Sus scrofa: one gene and its partner. The protein of the gene in region 1 purifies or fractionates together with the protein of each later gene. This does not show direct contact. Links are inferred from orthologs where the notes say so. Each region holds a gene or a part of one and is shown on either strand. Other genes may lie near its edges.

Region 1 (7,351 bases):
CAGCTCCATCTGCTTTAGAAAGAGCCCTCTGTGTGCAGTGACTGTGTTTCCTTTTTGCTTCACCCCATTACTCAGGTGAACCGTTTCTACTCTTCACCTTATAGCACAGCTCAGCAGATTTCTACACCACTGAGCTCCTTCTCGGTCCACTCCTGGCTTCCCCCGCCTCCCTGCAGCTTAAATGTAAGCCTACAAGGGCAGAGGCCACGGTATCACCTACCACATGCCAGGCAGAGCAATAATTTAACACTGATAAGGTCATAGGGCTGGAACCAGGCACTATTCTAAGTATGTCCTGTGTAGAAGTCATTTAATTCTCACGTCAAACCTTGGACACAGGTTTTCTTATTCTCCCCAATTTATAAATGCAGAACAGGCACAGAGCGGTGAAGGAAGCTACTATGACCACACAGCAGAAAATGGTACTTGAATAGAGCAGTTCAGATCCAAAGCCTGTACCCTATACAATTTACCTCCTCAATATTTGTTGAAAGCATGCTCATTTAAATGTTTACTGAGTTGAATGAAGCAGAGAGTTGAGTGTAAACAAATTTGTAATTATAAAGTACCTCTAGAGTAAAGATGAACACATTTAGCTATGGAGAAGAAGTTGGTTATAGTTTGTTACCTCTTGTACTGGAAATTAGCGGTTTTTTGAAAAAAAATTCATTGTTCTTGCCAAATCCATAAGAGATAATCTGTGCAAAGGGGAACATTATTAATGATTCGAGCAGGTTGAAGTAATATTCAAGGACTTTGTAACTCTTACGAAAACGTGGGAGTTAGAGAAATATACTTGTGTATATTTTTTGCTGATACCTTAAGGGATATTTATGTAGCTGCATTAATCGATGTAAAAAGAGCAGTGAACATCAGGCCTTGTTTCTCTGTTCCAAAAACAGATGTCAGTTACATTAAAAACTGTTGTCTTAATCACTTTCAGGCATCATTTTATTGGGGCTGGGGGACAGCAAAAATGTACAGAAAATTGGCAGCTCCTCCTGCCCACCAGTCTAGCTCTGTTAAGTGACATGGGATGCTTTCGCCTTTGTTTTCATTTCCATATTTAACAACAAAAGTAACACTTGATGTTATAAGGTTGTTCTGAGTAGCTTGTGGATGTTTGTTATGTTCTTTGAACTGTTAGAAGAAAGGTATTAATAAACACTAAAGCAAAAATCACTTATATAGGTCACAATTTGGGAATTCCCTTTGTGGCTCAGTGGTAATGAACCCGACTATTGCTCATGAGGACACAGGTTCAATCCCTGGCTCTGTTAACAGGTTAAGGATCTGACATTGCCATAAGCTATGGTGTAGTTCAAAGATGTAGCTCAGATCTGGTGTTGCCATGGCTGTGATATAGACCCACAGCTGCAGTTCCAATTTGACCCCTCGCCTGGGAACTTCCATAGGCCGAGGGTGTTGCCTTAAAAAAAAAAATAGGGCACTATTTAAGGATGGGTAGGAGATTCTGGAGGACTCTGAGTCATTATTAATGCTGTGCTCTAAAACAGTAATGGAATTATTCCAAAGTAGTTTTGTATATTCTTAGACTACCCTATATGTAGATTCCTTAGTCTTTAGACTCTACGTAGATGACTTTTTAAGCCATACAGCAAAAAGAAAAGTTCACTCCAAAGGTGATTACTGCAGCAGCCAGAGGTTTCTTAATGACAGAGATGTACAAACTGGAATACATCCAATTTAGGTTTCGTCCTGAATTGATCATGATCACAGCCATTGTCCCACAGGGAGAGCTTGGTCAAACCTGCAGCATGCTGGGCCTGCTAACTGGGCTTCCCAAATGCTTGCTGGGAAGAGAAGTGTCCATCTGGCTGTAGAGGAGCCAGTCCAGCCAGGCTAACTTTCCCACAGATAAGAGTTCTTAGGCAAGAAAAAAAAACAATCTGGATACACCTCGAAACTAAACATATGAGGGACAATATCTTGTGGAGCTACTGTCAATTTCAATGTCTCTTTTTGTTGTTTGTTTTTTTAACCTTAAGCCCTCCTTTGATAAACGGGTAATTTTTGTATTCTTTATAATTGAAATTTCAAAGTAACTTTGTGGATAAAAGGTAACCAAAGGAGATGTAAATTTACACATGATTTTTGAATATTTCAGTGCTTCTATCCTCCAAAGTTTCGGAGATGCATTACCCTCCTGTAACAGAGGCTAGTGTGATGCTAGGTTAGCTGTTCTGCAAAGCTCTTCCTAGAGGGGCGCTGATACCTGGACCGCAGTGAAAACATTAACACTGTGCCTAGCCTAGGCCATCGTCCCATTTGCCTCATTTGCTTTCTAGACAGACTGGGCTGCTCCTTCATGGCAGCATCAATTTGTCCTTTGTTCTGTGGTGCTTCCTAGGGATTTAAATTCGCAGTAGCATAACGATTTACTTATGGCACATTTCATGTTCCTGCCCATGATTACGCTGGCAATCGGTTAAAGATGGGTCAGCAACTTGGCTGTGGGTTTTTTCCCCCTTTGGTTCGGTTTACCAGTCTTCCGTAATGATGCAGACAGAATTCGTTTCCAACCTGTGAACGTGACCACTGTTTTGGTTTGGGCTTATCATTACCAGTCAAAACTGAAGAACAGAACTACAGCAACGAACGCTGCAGATTTTGACTTTTATTTCCAGTTTGATACGTGTGCCTCGTCAGATCCACAACGACGCGTCTGCTTTTTAAAGGAGGTGTGTTTCTTCCTCGGCTTTCGCATCACTGGAGAGAATTGAGGAGGCAGGAGAGTTCGGACTGGAAAACGACTGGGAATTCTGGCTACCGAGGAAGGGATGAAGAGAATTAGCAAAATGATAGATCCCCACATGTTTTTCATAAGGCATAGTTTATATTTCTAACCAGGTGAACCTTGGGTCGAGCTCCAAAAGTTCTTACTTCTCTTTTTTTAGCGCAGATGGAGACGCTCTCCGAGAACCAAAGTGAGTCTTAGCGCACCCCATCCCCTTTGCCTTTAAAGGACCCCTCTCCTTCCCGCCACCCACAGCAGCTACTACAATTCCCGGCAAGCACTGTACAGCGCCGCAGGGGGACCAGGCCGCGCGGAGACTTGCCCCGCGCGGAGCGTGCTGGGAGTTGTAGTCAACGAGCCTTGCTGCGCCTTCTGCTGTTAGGCATTCCAACTTGGTAGGTAGTGATGCACTGCAGTAGCAGGTTCCTCGCTGTCGTAATCGCAGTTAAACGTGACCGAGGATTGCGCTCTGCTGCCCTGCGGTGCGCGCCGCATCGGTGCCCTGGAGCCGAGCTCCGCCCAGGTCCACACCCGCTCCCTTGACAGCCGGGCCGGGCGTCCAGCTTGGCCCGGCCAGTGGCGCGCAAGCGCAGCAGTCCGCGGCGCGCCAAGCCGGCGTGGAGGGCAGGCCCTGCGCGAGACGTTCCCGGCCGCAGGGGCGCGCACGTAAGCACGCAGGAGCGTCACGTGGGGCGCCGAGGATCGCAGTGCGCGCGGCCGCGGCGGCTGGTGTGGGGTTGAGTCAGTTGTGAGACCCGGAGCTGCGGACCGGCGGGCGGCCCTCCGAGCCGGCGACACAGCGGTGGGCGTCGGGTTCGGGAGCCGAGCGCTGGCCCCGCGTCGACCCGGGCCGAGCCGCGCCGCCGCCCCCCGCCCGCAGCCACCGACCGGCCGCCGCGGGCGCGCCCCCGCTCTCCGCTGTCTCTCCGATGGCGTCCGCCTCCGGGGCCATGGCGAAGCACGAGCAGATCCTGGTCCTCGACCCGCCCACAGACCTCAAATTCAAAGGTGGGCTGGCGGGCAGGCGGGCGGGCAGGGTGGCGGCCGCGCCCGGGGCCCCTTCCCCCTCCCCCGCCGCCACGGCCCCTCCCGCGCGGGTGCGCGCGCCCCCGCCCCCCGCCCGGCGAGGCCGCCGCCATCTTGCGGCCCGCGGGCGCCTCGGTGCGGCGGTGGCGCTGGGCCCGGCCGAGCTGGGTCGGGCGGGGCGGGGCGGGGCGCGGCGGGGCGGGGCGGGGCGCGGGCGGGCTGGAGGGGGCGGCTCTGAGCGGTTCCCCCGGGAAGCGAACCCCGCCTGCGGGACAGTGTATCTGGGACTTGAGTTCCCGCACCGAGGACTAGCGCAGGGATCATGCAGGTGTGGCCGTTCCAGGGCTTGAAAGAGCAGCCTTACTGCCCTGCAGGGTTGCGTCCTGGAGAACAGCCATTAGGTGGTTTTCCTTGGGAGACGTTTGGGGTAGTCAGGAATTCTAAAGTGTTGCGTTCTGGGGTTTTGACAGCCGTGTTGTGTAACTGCCTTATTTTGCAAGCTCTTCAGTGTCTTCAAATTTCTTTGAATGGAAATGTCAGGGAGCTGCTTGTTAGGTAAGGAATTGATCTTAAGACAACCCCACGAAGTATTTTGAGAGGAATAAAGTACATTTTATTGTGGCAAGTTTGTGTGTGCAGCCTGATTTTACATGGTTTTCGCTGATAAAGAAAACACACCTTTGGGGAATCATGAAATGACCCAACTCAAATAACTGTTAACTTAGGATGGAGGAGTTTAGTGTGTGGTATGTGTTCTTTCGAGAATTTAAGTATTTTGCTTTGATTTTTTGGCAGGCGGAGTTTACAGAGGAAGTTTCTTCTCCTGGATAACCTGTGTGTATTGCCGCTAGGAGCTTAGACGCCTTTAACATGAGTTTTAGTTCAGGAAATATTCCTAGAGTTTGACACTTTCACAGTTGTAATGTTTTCATAGTAAGAGACTATTAGTAACAGAGAAGTAAGTTAAAAAAACAATCGTAGACTCTACACAGTGACGTAAAATATATTTAACCTAGTTAAGATATTGAAGAATTATTGGCTATGATATAGAACAGGTTGTTCTTGTGTTATGGATGAAAGTAATTCACAAGGCCTTTTAAAGTTTGGACATCAATTGACTTTTTAAAAAAGTTTTTCATTGAGGAATTTATAGGGACACGTTGTTTAGTAAACACTATTAAAAGCTTGGTGACATGTCTATGTTTAAGATACTCAACAAGGAGTAATTTATTCCAGAGGTATCAGCTAAGCAAGGTGGAGAAAAGATCCATAGTTTGTAGTTTGATGGGGAAAACGCACAGTCAACAACAGTAAAATGTGTTATGTTTTATCTTAGAAGGAGACAGGAAGGCGTATAGATGCTGTAATAGATGCAGAGCAAGCATGAGGAAAGAAGTCCCTTCCTCCTCCTCCCCTGCCCTTGCTTAGGAAGCTTGTTTTCAAATGGGGAAGAGGAGGGGGAGGGCTGGGGAAGGGAATGATTTGCTCTTCCAGGGATGTGAGAGAAGGTTGACTTATACTTAAATACCTAGTGGTTTGCTGTGTGCAGTTTAAGGTGGGTAATGGGGAGGCCTGGGAAAGAGGAGGGGTAGGATGAATTAGGAAGTGACATTTGGTGTCATTTGATTGCTTCTTAAAAGTTGTCTTAGTCAAAGGTAAATAATTTGCTTTGACTTTCTAATGAGCAGTTCAACATTAAGTGAGGAGACTCATTTAAAACTTACAGTGTCTTCTTTAAGAGAGAAAAAGCCTTTAATTTTGCCCTAAGTCACCTGTAATTTTTAGTTTAAGCAAAAGTCAAAGGATAGTTTTTCAGAATGTCACCTTCTGGTAGGTTTATTTGAACTATTTTGACTACATTTGATTAAGGTGATTTCTCCAAGAATGAGTGATTTAATCCTTCTGTGATTGGGTGGTGAATTTTTCTGTTCCATGCAGTTCATGTTCAGTTATCTTGATATGAATTATCACCACTTTGCCCAATTGTGGAGAAGCTGATACCAACTTAATACGTTTTCTATATACCACAATATTTTATTTGGAAGTTTATTGTTTTATACAGTTGTTTATGAAAGTACTTTAATAATAATGTAAAGAATTCTAAAGTAGTTCATTTATTGAATTAGTAAAGAAAAAGAGGTAAATATTTTCAAATTCTGTTTTTTGGTCCTGGCAGTAATTTGACCTAGAATTCAGATTTGAAATTTGGTACTTACATGTGAGAGACTTTTCCTTTCTTTCTTGCTTTTTTTTTTTTTTTTGATCATAAAATTTCTTCCTTTGTATTATACAACTTTTTTTTTTTCAGCCTTTTATTAGTTTTGGAGGAAAGTTTGGAGAAGAAGGTTTAGAAAATAAGTTGTGGATATTTTCTTCCACCTCATGATTAGAGAAAGAGGGAAACAGACCCAAACCATTGCATTAAAGGTGGCCCATTAACAATAACAAATCAGTAAGGAGAAGTAAGCTCTCTGAGGGACAAGGGACACGTGGTGTGTCAGCCAAAGCACCTTCGAATAGCAACACGGTGCTCGAAAGTGGCCCAAGTGAGGGTATAGACTGCTCCTCCTCTTGGTGGTATTTGGCATGTGTTGAGGTATTTTCAGGTAATGCCTATTAGACAGTGGCCCCATTAGACCTCTGAGGTGACCCCCTCCCCCCAGGACATAGAAGTCATCTTACTGTTTCATTCCTTCAGTTTTTAAGGAGCTTTCAATTGCCCACTGGATGACAGTCTATTTTAGTGTAGCTCGTGAGCACTTCTGTCATGTGCTGTCTCCTCTTGTAACACCTTTCATCTGCTCACATCCACACTTTCTTTTGAGAAGGAAAAACCCATCTCTTCTCCAGGCTTGATAGCTCTTTTTTGCTGGTTAAGGTAAAAATCTTTCATGACTCAGACCCTGCTCCATCAGGTGTTTTTTCTGTCATGTCTTCAACCTCTGGCTTCTTCTTTAAATGTAAAAACACACATACTCTTTCATTTTTTTTTTTTTTTTTTTGTCTTTTTGCTATTTCTTTGGGCCGCTCCCGCGGCATATGGAGGTTCCCAGGCTAGGGGTCAAATCGGAGCTGTAGCCAGCTCGGGATCCGAGCCGCATCTGCAACCTACACCACAGCTCACAGCAACGCCGAATCGTCAACCCACTGAGCAAGGGCAGGGACCGAACCCGCAACCTCATGGTTCCTAGTTGGATTCATTAACCACTGCGCCACGACGGGAACTCCCTCTTTCATTTTTAAAACAAATCAGCAAACACCACACTTCATGGACTCCCAGCTCCTCCCTGCACGTCCCTTCCTTTGCATCCAGACTTCTTGGAAAAGGAGTTGAGTTCCTTGTGTCCGGCGCCTCTTCTCTGTTCCCGAGATGGCTGTCTGTCCTCACTACCTACTGATTGCACTGTGTTCTTTGCCAGTCTCTGTCTCTCTTGACCCTCTTTGGCACTTGGCATTATTGAGATAGTTACTCTTTAAAAACTTGGTTCCTTTGACTTCTGTAACACAGTTTTCTAATTTTCTTCTTGCTCTCTTCATCATCTCCTTTGTCACCTCCTTTTTCTTAAA
Region 2 (7,236 bases), on another chromosome or scaffold:
CCACCAAAATAATTTTGTTTTATTTAAATTTTTTTTTTTTGGTTGTGCCCATGGCATGTTCCTGGGCCAGGGATCAAACCCGTGCCATAGCAGTGCCTTGAGCTGCTACAGTGACAACACTGGGTTCTTAACCTTGATGAGCCACAGAGGAACTCCATCACTAATCTAACTTTAAAACATTTTCATGACCCCTCAAAAAACCTCATAGCCATTAGCAGTCACTTTCCATGCCTCCTTCCTCCCAGCACCTGGCAACCACTAATCTGCTTTCCGCCTCTATAGGTTTGCCTATCTTGGACATTTTTTATAAACGGAATCATACAATATGTGGCTTTTGGTGTCTTGATTCTTGTGCTTAGCATAATGCTTTTGAAATCTATCTTTGTTGTAGCATATATTAGCACTTCATTCCTTCTATAGCCAAATAATATTCCATTGTATGGATATACCACCTTTCAGATTTCTACCTGTGGTATATGAAGGTTTCAATTTCTCCACATCCCAATAACCAATGCTGGTTAGTCTCTATCCTTTTTCTTTATTTTTTTTTTTGGCTCGCCCACAGCATGCTGAAATTCCTGGGCCAGTGATTGAACCTGCACCGCAGTTGGGACAATGCCAGATCCTTAACCTGCTGCACCACAAGAGAATTTCCTCCCACGTCTCTCTTGTCCCCAAATAAGTAAAGCTAGCTTTTTCCTTAGCTTCCTCGCCTTTCTTTAATCTCTCACTTTAAATATCATCTCCTCGGAGTTCCCGTCGTGGCTCAGTGGTTAACAAATCCGACTAGGAACCATGAGGTTGCAGGTTCGATCCCTGGCTTTGCTTAGTGGGTTAAGGATATGGCCTTGCCATGAGCTGTGGTGTAGGTCGCAGAGGCGGCTGGGATCTGGCGTTGCTGTGGCTGTGGCAAAGGCCGGCGGCTACAGCTCTGTTTAGACCCTTAGCCTGGGAACCTCCATATGCCGAGGGAGTGGCCCTAGAAAGACAAATAAATAAATAAATATCATCTCCTCATAGATAACTTTCCTCAACTGTTTTTTTTTGTTTGTTTTTTTTGGTTTTTTTTTTTGCTTTTAAGGGCCACACCCACAGCATAAGAAGGTTCCCAGGCTAGGGGTCGAATCAGAGCTTACAGCTGCCAGCCTACACCACAGCCACAGCAATTCAGGATATGAGCCCATCTTGGACCTACACCACAGCTCAAGGCAAGGAAGGATCCTGAGGCGAGGGATCGAACCCTCAACCTCATGGTTCCTAGTTGAATTCATTTCCACTGCGCCATGTCAGGTAACTCCTCTCAACTGTTTTCTCTAAGGTAAGTTCTCCACTCCATCTCACTTATTTTCTTTTTCTTTTTTTACTCAGTGAATTTTATTACATTTATAGGCATACAATGATCGTCACAACCAAATTTTATAGCATTTCCATATCTCACTTTTTTTTTTTTTTTTTTTTTTTTTTGGTCTTTTTGCCATTTCTTGGGCGCTCCCGCGGCATATGGAGGTTCCCAGGCCAGGGGTCTAATCGGAGCTGTAGCCGCCGGCCTACACCACAGCAACTCGGGATCCGAGCCGCGTCTGCGACCCACACCACAGCTCACGGCAACACCAGATCCTTAACCCACTGAGAGATGCCAGGGATGGAACTGCATCCTCACTAAAATTATGTCAGATTCTTAACCCACTGAGCCACAACAGGAACTCCCAACAGTTGCTTTTTTATTTATAACACTGATTTGCCTTATGCCAATATCACAGGTTTTTTTTTTTGTAAAATTATTAAAATGAATAGATGGTTTTTGGTTTTGTAATTTTATTTATTTATTTAATCTTTTTAGGGCCACACCTGCAGCACATGGCAGTTTCCAGTCTAGGGGTTGAATTGGAGCTGCAGTTGGGGGCCTACACCACAACCACACTGGATCTGAGCTGCCTCTGCGACCTACACCACAGCTCGCAGCAACACCAGGTCCCCAACCAACTGATGGAAGCCAGGGATCAAACCCATGTCCTCGAGGATACCACCCGGGTTTGTTACCGCTGCGCCAGGAGGGGAACTCCCTGTTTTTGTAATTTCTTATAGAAATGACATTTTTCTAAGTTTTCTCCCTAAAATGGCTGGAATGGGCCCTGGAACAGAAGGCCTGCACCGGGTTAGGAAGACCGGAAGCCACCCTCCACTAGGGCGCTAAGTCCTTTACTTCTCCCTCTTCGTCAGTCCCCCTGCCTCCGCCCTCTGCCACCCTCCCCGCCCTTCCTTTGGAGTCCACCGCCCAGGCCCCGCTATCCCCGAGGCTCCGCCCCCTTCAGGGCTGCGCGCCCTGCTCCAAGATGGCGCCCAGGGCTTCCGCTCTGAGGGAAGTGAGCTCATGGTACTCCGGAAGGGAAGGCGGGGAGAGAGCAGGCGGGTGGGTGACCTACCGTGGGACTGTGGGTGGGGCGGCGGCCGCCGTTGTGGCTCTCACATTTGGATTGGGGAGAGGGTGAGGGACTAGTCCGCCCCTGAGAACCGAGTCGAGGGCCCGAGGCCGAGCGTGCTGGAGGAAGTCGCCCCGAGCGGCTCGCCTTTGCCGGAGGCAGGGTAGCCCTGGGAGCCGGCGTCCCGCCCCCGGCGGCCTCCCTCCCCAACCCTCCTCCCCGGCTGCGCGCGGGCTGCTCCCGCTCAGTCTTGGGGGCTGCGGCGGGAACCGCCGAGAGGGGTGGACGGGGCCCTTCCCGCTGAGGACCGGCTGGAGAAGAAGAGGGAGCGCGGCGGGTCAAGTCTGTCAGCCCAGAGGTCAGGCCGCGAGTCCCGGTCCGTGGCCCGTCCTCCTCCCAGCCCTCTTGGCTGGAGTCCGCGACCTCCCCACGCTCCTTCTGCTTCTCCTTTGAGCATGCCACCAAGTCCTCGGGCAGGGTGATTTTTTTTTCTTCCTTGTTTTTGCCCGAAAGGAGACATCTATTTAAAGGACATCTATTCTCATCGCTACTCCTCTCCTCTTAAAAGTTTTCCTTCACGAGGAATGCTTGTATTCGTTCCCTGGATTATTTGATGGTTCCTACTCCAGCCACCGTCTCATTTGGCAATTGGGATCACCTTCAGATCAAATCTTAAATCTCACCACTTACAAAACTACCATACAGAGTTGTTCTCTCCGCCCGAGAGGGGCAAATGGACTTTGAAGTTAAGATGCAGGGAGGTGAACCACTGTCAACAATGAAAGTCTCAGAGAGCGAAGGAAGGCTGGAGGGCCTGGCCACCGCGGTGACCCCCAACAAGAACAGCAGCAACAGCAGCTGTGGGGGTGGAATCAGCAGCAGCAGCAGCGGCAGCAGCAGAGGTGGCAGTGCCAAAGGCTGGCAGTACAGGTATGGCCCTTTCTCCAAGGTGAGGGTGGGGGTGTGTTGGACCCCGAGTTCCTGCAGTTGTTGAAGGGTAAAGCTTATCCACTGACTTCCGCAGGTAACAGATACATCTCGTTTGGATCTGGGGTCTCATCTTTCATTAGCAAGATTTAATTCATTTGTCCATTCAACAGGTATCTATTGAAGGCCCTTTGGAGAACACAGAAATGTTTCTCTGGACTTTCTCTACAGCTTTGGAGTTAATTTTGACTCTGATTTGATGCTGTACTCCTCTTTTTTCCTATATTGTAATTTGATTTGGGGTTTTTTTTGTTTTTTTGTTTTTTTTGCTTTTTAGGGCCGCACTTGCGGCATATGAAGGCTCCCAGGCTAGGGGTCTAATCGGAGCTGTAGCCACTGGCCTATGCTAGAGCCACAGCAACGAGGGAAGTGAGCCGCGTCTGCAACCTACACCACAGCTCAAGGCAATGCTGGATCCTTAACCCACTGAGCAAGGGCAGGGATCGAACCAGCAACCTCATGGTTCCTAGTCAGATTCGTTAACCACTGAGCCACGACGGGAACTCCTAGAATTTTTTTTTTTAATTGAGAAATATATGAGGTATTAGGTTCAGGTGTACAACATAATGATTTGATATTTTGTATGTATTGTGAAATGGTCACCTTAATACATCTAGTTACCATTATCACCACACATAGTTACAATTTTGGGGGGATGAGAACTTTTAAGATCTAATCTCTTATCAACGTTCAAATAGTAATAATGCTGTATAATAACAGTATTATCAGCTATAGTTGCCATACTGTACGTTTCCAGGACTTGTTTATTTTATACCTGGAAGTTTGTACTTTTTGATCACTTTCACTCATTTCAGTCATCCTTCCCTATGGCTACCCCCATGTAATTCTCTGTATTAATGAGTTTTGTTTTGTTTTTTAGATTCCACATATAAGTGAGATCATACAGTATTTTTTTTCATTTTATGAAGTTTTATTAAAGTATAGTTGATTTACGATGCTGTGATAATTTCTGCTGTACAAAAAAATTATTCAGTTATACATATACACACATCCATTCTTTTTCAAGATCATGCAGTATTTGTCTTTTCTCTGTCTGACTGATGTCACTTAGCATAATGCCCTCAGGGTCTCTCCATGTGTTGCAAATGGCAAAATTTCCTCATTTTTTATGGCTGAATAATATTCCATTTTTTATGTATACCACATACCACATTTTATTTATCCATTCATCATTGTCCATTTGATGGACACTTAGGTTCCATGTTTTGACTATTGTAAATAATATTGCAGTGAACATCATAAATAATATTTCAGTGAATGTTTGAGTTATTGGTTTCCTTTTCTTCAGAAAATACTCAGAAGTAGAATTGCTGGATTATTCAGACTCTTAAGAATGAATGAAATTGAATATGCCATGGTATTGGAAGTACAGGAATAAATTAAATTTTGGTTAACTGACTGCCTGTGTGCTGTTTTGTAGTTGTGAAATTTGAAAGGGATTAAAGTCAAGATTCTGTAAAGGCTGTATACATTTATCATGAATAATATCCATATATGTGAAATATGCTTGACGTATTAACGTATAGAAACAATGTAGAAGAATATAACTTTTTATTGGTAAATTATTATAGGTAAGCGATTAAAATATATTTAGTTACTGAGAAACGCCTGCTCACTTTTGCAATACATGATGTGTTTTTGTGGTTTAAGTCTAACTATATAAAATTGTCAGTAATTTGGCAGGGTTATTTTAATGTGACTTAAGGAAACAAGATAAAGTAATATTTCATGTAGTCAGAGATCAGTCTTCTGACATCTTTAGTTCTTTGAATTAAAGAATTAACCCAGTCTTTATTGAATTGAAAAGTGAAACAGTTTTCTTAATACTGGGGAGAGTTGTCATAAAGCCATACCCTTTGCTCCTGTACTTTGATTCAGGACCATATTATCCCTTATTAAGAGTATTGCTTAATGGTTATGTAATTTTCAAACTAGAATCTGTTGGGAGCATAAATAAAAAAGGTATCAGGGAAGTGTAACAGGAAATGGCAACTGACAACATAGGACAATCAAATATGTGAAAAATTAACATGCAGACTCAGCCATATTACTTCCTCGAATAGTAATCATAGTTGCAATAACCTTAAGTCATCCAGGAAAGCAGTCTGTTTTGGAGAATAGTGGTGAACAGTTTCAAGGAAAATAGCTCAAATTAAAAAAAAAAGAAAGATGCTTAAGGATCTGGAAAATGCAGTTATATGGAACTCTTCCCCAAAGATGCAGATGTATAATGCATTATTTTTTTAAATTACTCAATAAATTTTATTACATTTATAGGTGTACAGCAATCATCACAACCAAATTTTACAGCATTTCCATCCCAAACCCTCAGTGCATCCCCCAACCCCCCAACCTGTCTCATTTGGAAACCGTAAGTTTTTCAAAGTCTTTGCGTCAGTATGCATAATGCATTATTGCGTTTACGTACTGACACATATTTTTACTTAAATGAGGAGTCTTCAAGGCTAATCATTCATCCCACCTCTCGGTCGAATTTATTCCTTTGTCCTCTAGGACATTGATCAAATAATTTTTTTCCATTGTCCTGTGTTGCCCCTCTTACCTGGCTTCTTCCTCTGAGGCCCATAGTTTCTATAGACTTTAAAATTAACAGGGAGTTCCTGTTGTGGCTCAGTGGTTAATGAATCTGACTGGCATCCATGAGGACACAGGTTCAGGTTCGATCCCTGGCCTTACTCAGTGGATTAAGGATCCAGCGTTGCCGTAAGCTGTGGTGTAGGTCCCAGACGCAGCTTGGATCTGGCATTGCTGTAGCATAGGCCGGCAGCTGTAGCTGCAATTCGACCCCTAGCCTGGGAACCTCCATATGCTGCGAATGAAGCCCTGAAAAAGCAAACAAACAAACAAACAAGAGTTCACATTGTGGCTCAGTGGGTTAAGAACCCTACTCATACGATACCATGAGGATGCAGTTTCCATTCCTGTGCAGGCTGAGGCGTAGGTCACAGATGCAGCTTGGATCTGGTGTTGCTATGGCTCTGATTTGACCCCTAGCCTGGGAACTTCAGGATGCCACAGATGTGGCCCTAAAAAGAGGGGAAAAAAAAACAAACAAAACCAACAACAACAACAATAAAAACCAACCTAAATCCTTTTTTTTTTTTTTTTTTTTTTAAGGGCTTGCACCTGTGGCATATGGCAGTTCCCAGGCTAGGAACTAAATTGGAGCTGCAGCTGCTGGCCTTCATGGCAGTCACAGCAACGCCAGAATCTGAACGGAGTCTGTAACATACACCACAGCTCATGGCAATGCCAGACTCTAATCCCACTGAGTGGGGCCAGGGATTGAACCCGCATCCTCATGGATACTGGTCTGGTTTGTTACTGCTGAGCCACAACGAGAACTCCCCAAATCTTTTCTTCTTAATAGTAGTTTACACTCAACTGCCTCCTTTTCCTTAACCCTCATTTATTGCCCAACCCGTGAGAGTTGGCTCTGTCCTTACCAAGGATATGAGTAAAAAGTAGTGAATGTTTTTAGATTATTATTCTAATTGATAATGTGTATGTGTATCTGTTATTATTCTTTTTTTGGGTTTTCTGATACTACTTTCCCTTGGTTTCTCCTTTTTCCTCTGACAGTTGTCGAATTGCTCCTTTCTCATTTCTTTGGTTGGCCCTTTTCCTTTACAGGCTGGAGGGATACATCATCGTCTTCACTTAAGCTCATATTTCTGTTTATTATCTCATTTTCTTCCTTGGCCTCATCAGCTCTCTCTGAAACTTGAGGAAAAAAAATGGAGATTTTAGGTTATGTCTTAGGGAATGGTTGAAATTTAGGAAAGAC

Evidence for each region. Proteins that work in one complex are often made in the same cells at the same time.
Region 2: the proteins of VAPA (region 1) and OSBPL11 purify together in Homo sapiens (co-immunoprecipitation; 4 studies listed by BioGRID and IntAct, counting the BioPlex papers as one, with this or other methods). This does not show direct contact. The link is inferred for Sus scrofa from reciprocal best matches to the Homo sapiens genes VAPA and OSBPL11.

Annotation. Positions count from the first base shown.
Region 1 is NC_010448.4:98,250,368-98,257,718, reverse strand, and holds the start of VAPA (vesicle-associated membrane protein-associated protein A), read left to right. Parts: upstream 1-3,446; 5' UTR 3,447-3,687; coding exon 3,688-3,766; intron 3,767-7,351. UniProt on the Homo sapiens protein: Endoplasmic reticulum (ER)-anchored protein that mediates the formation of contact sites between the ER and endosomes via interaction with FFAT motif-containing proteins such as STARD3 or WDR44.
Region 2 is NC_010455.5:134,716,041-134,723,276, forward strand, and holds the start of OSBPL11 (oxysterol-binding protein-related protein 11), read left to right. Parts: upstream 1-2,310; 5' UTR 2,311-3,153; coding exon 3,154-3,350; intron 3,351-7,236. UniProt on the Homo sapiens protein: Plays a role in regulating ADIPOQ and FABP4 levels in differentiating adipocytes and is also involved in regulation of adipocyte triglyceride storage. Weakly binds 25-hydroxycholesterol. Interacts with OSBPL9 to function as lipid transfer proteins.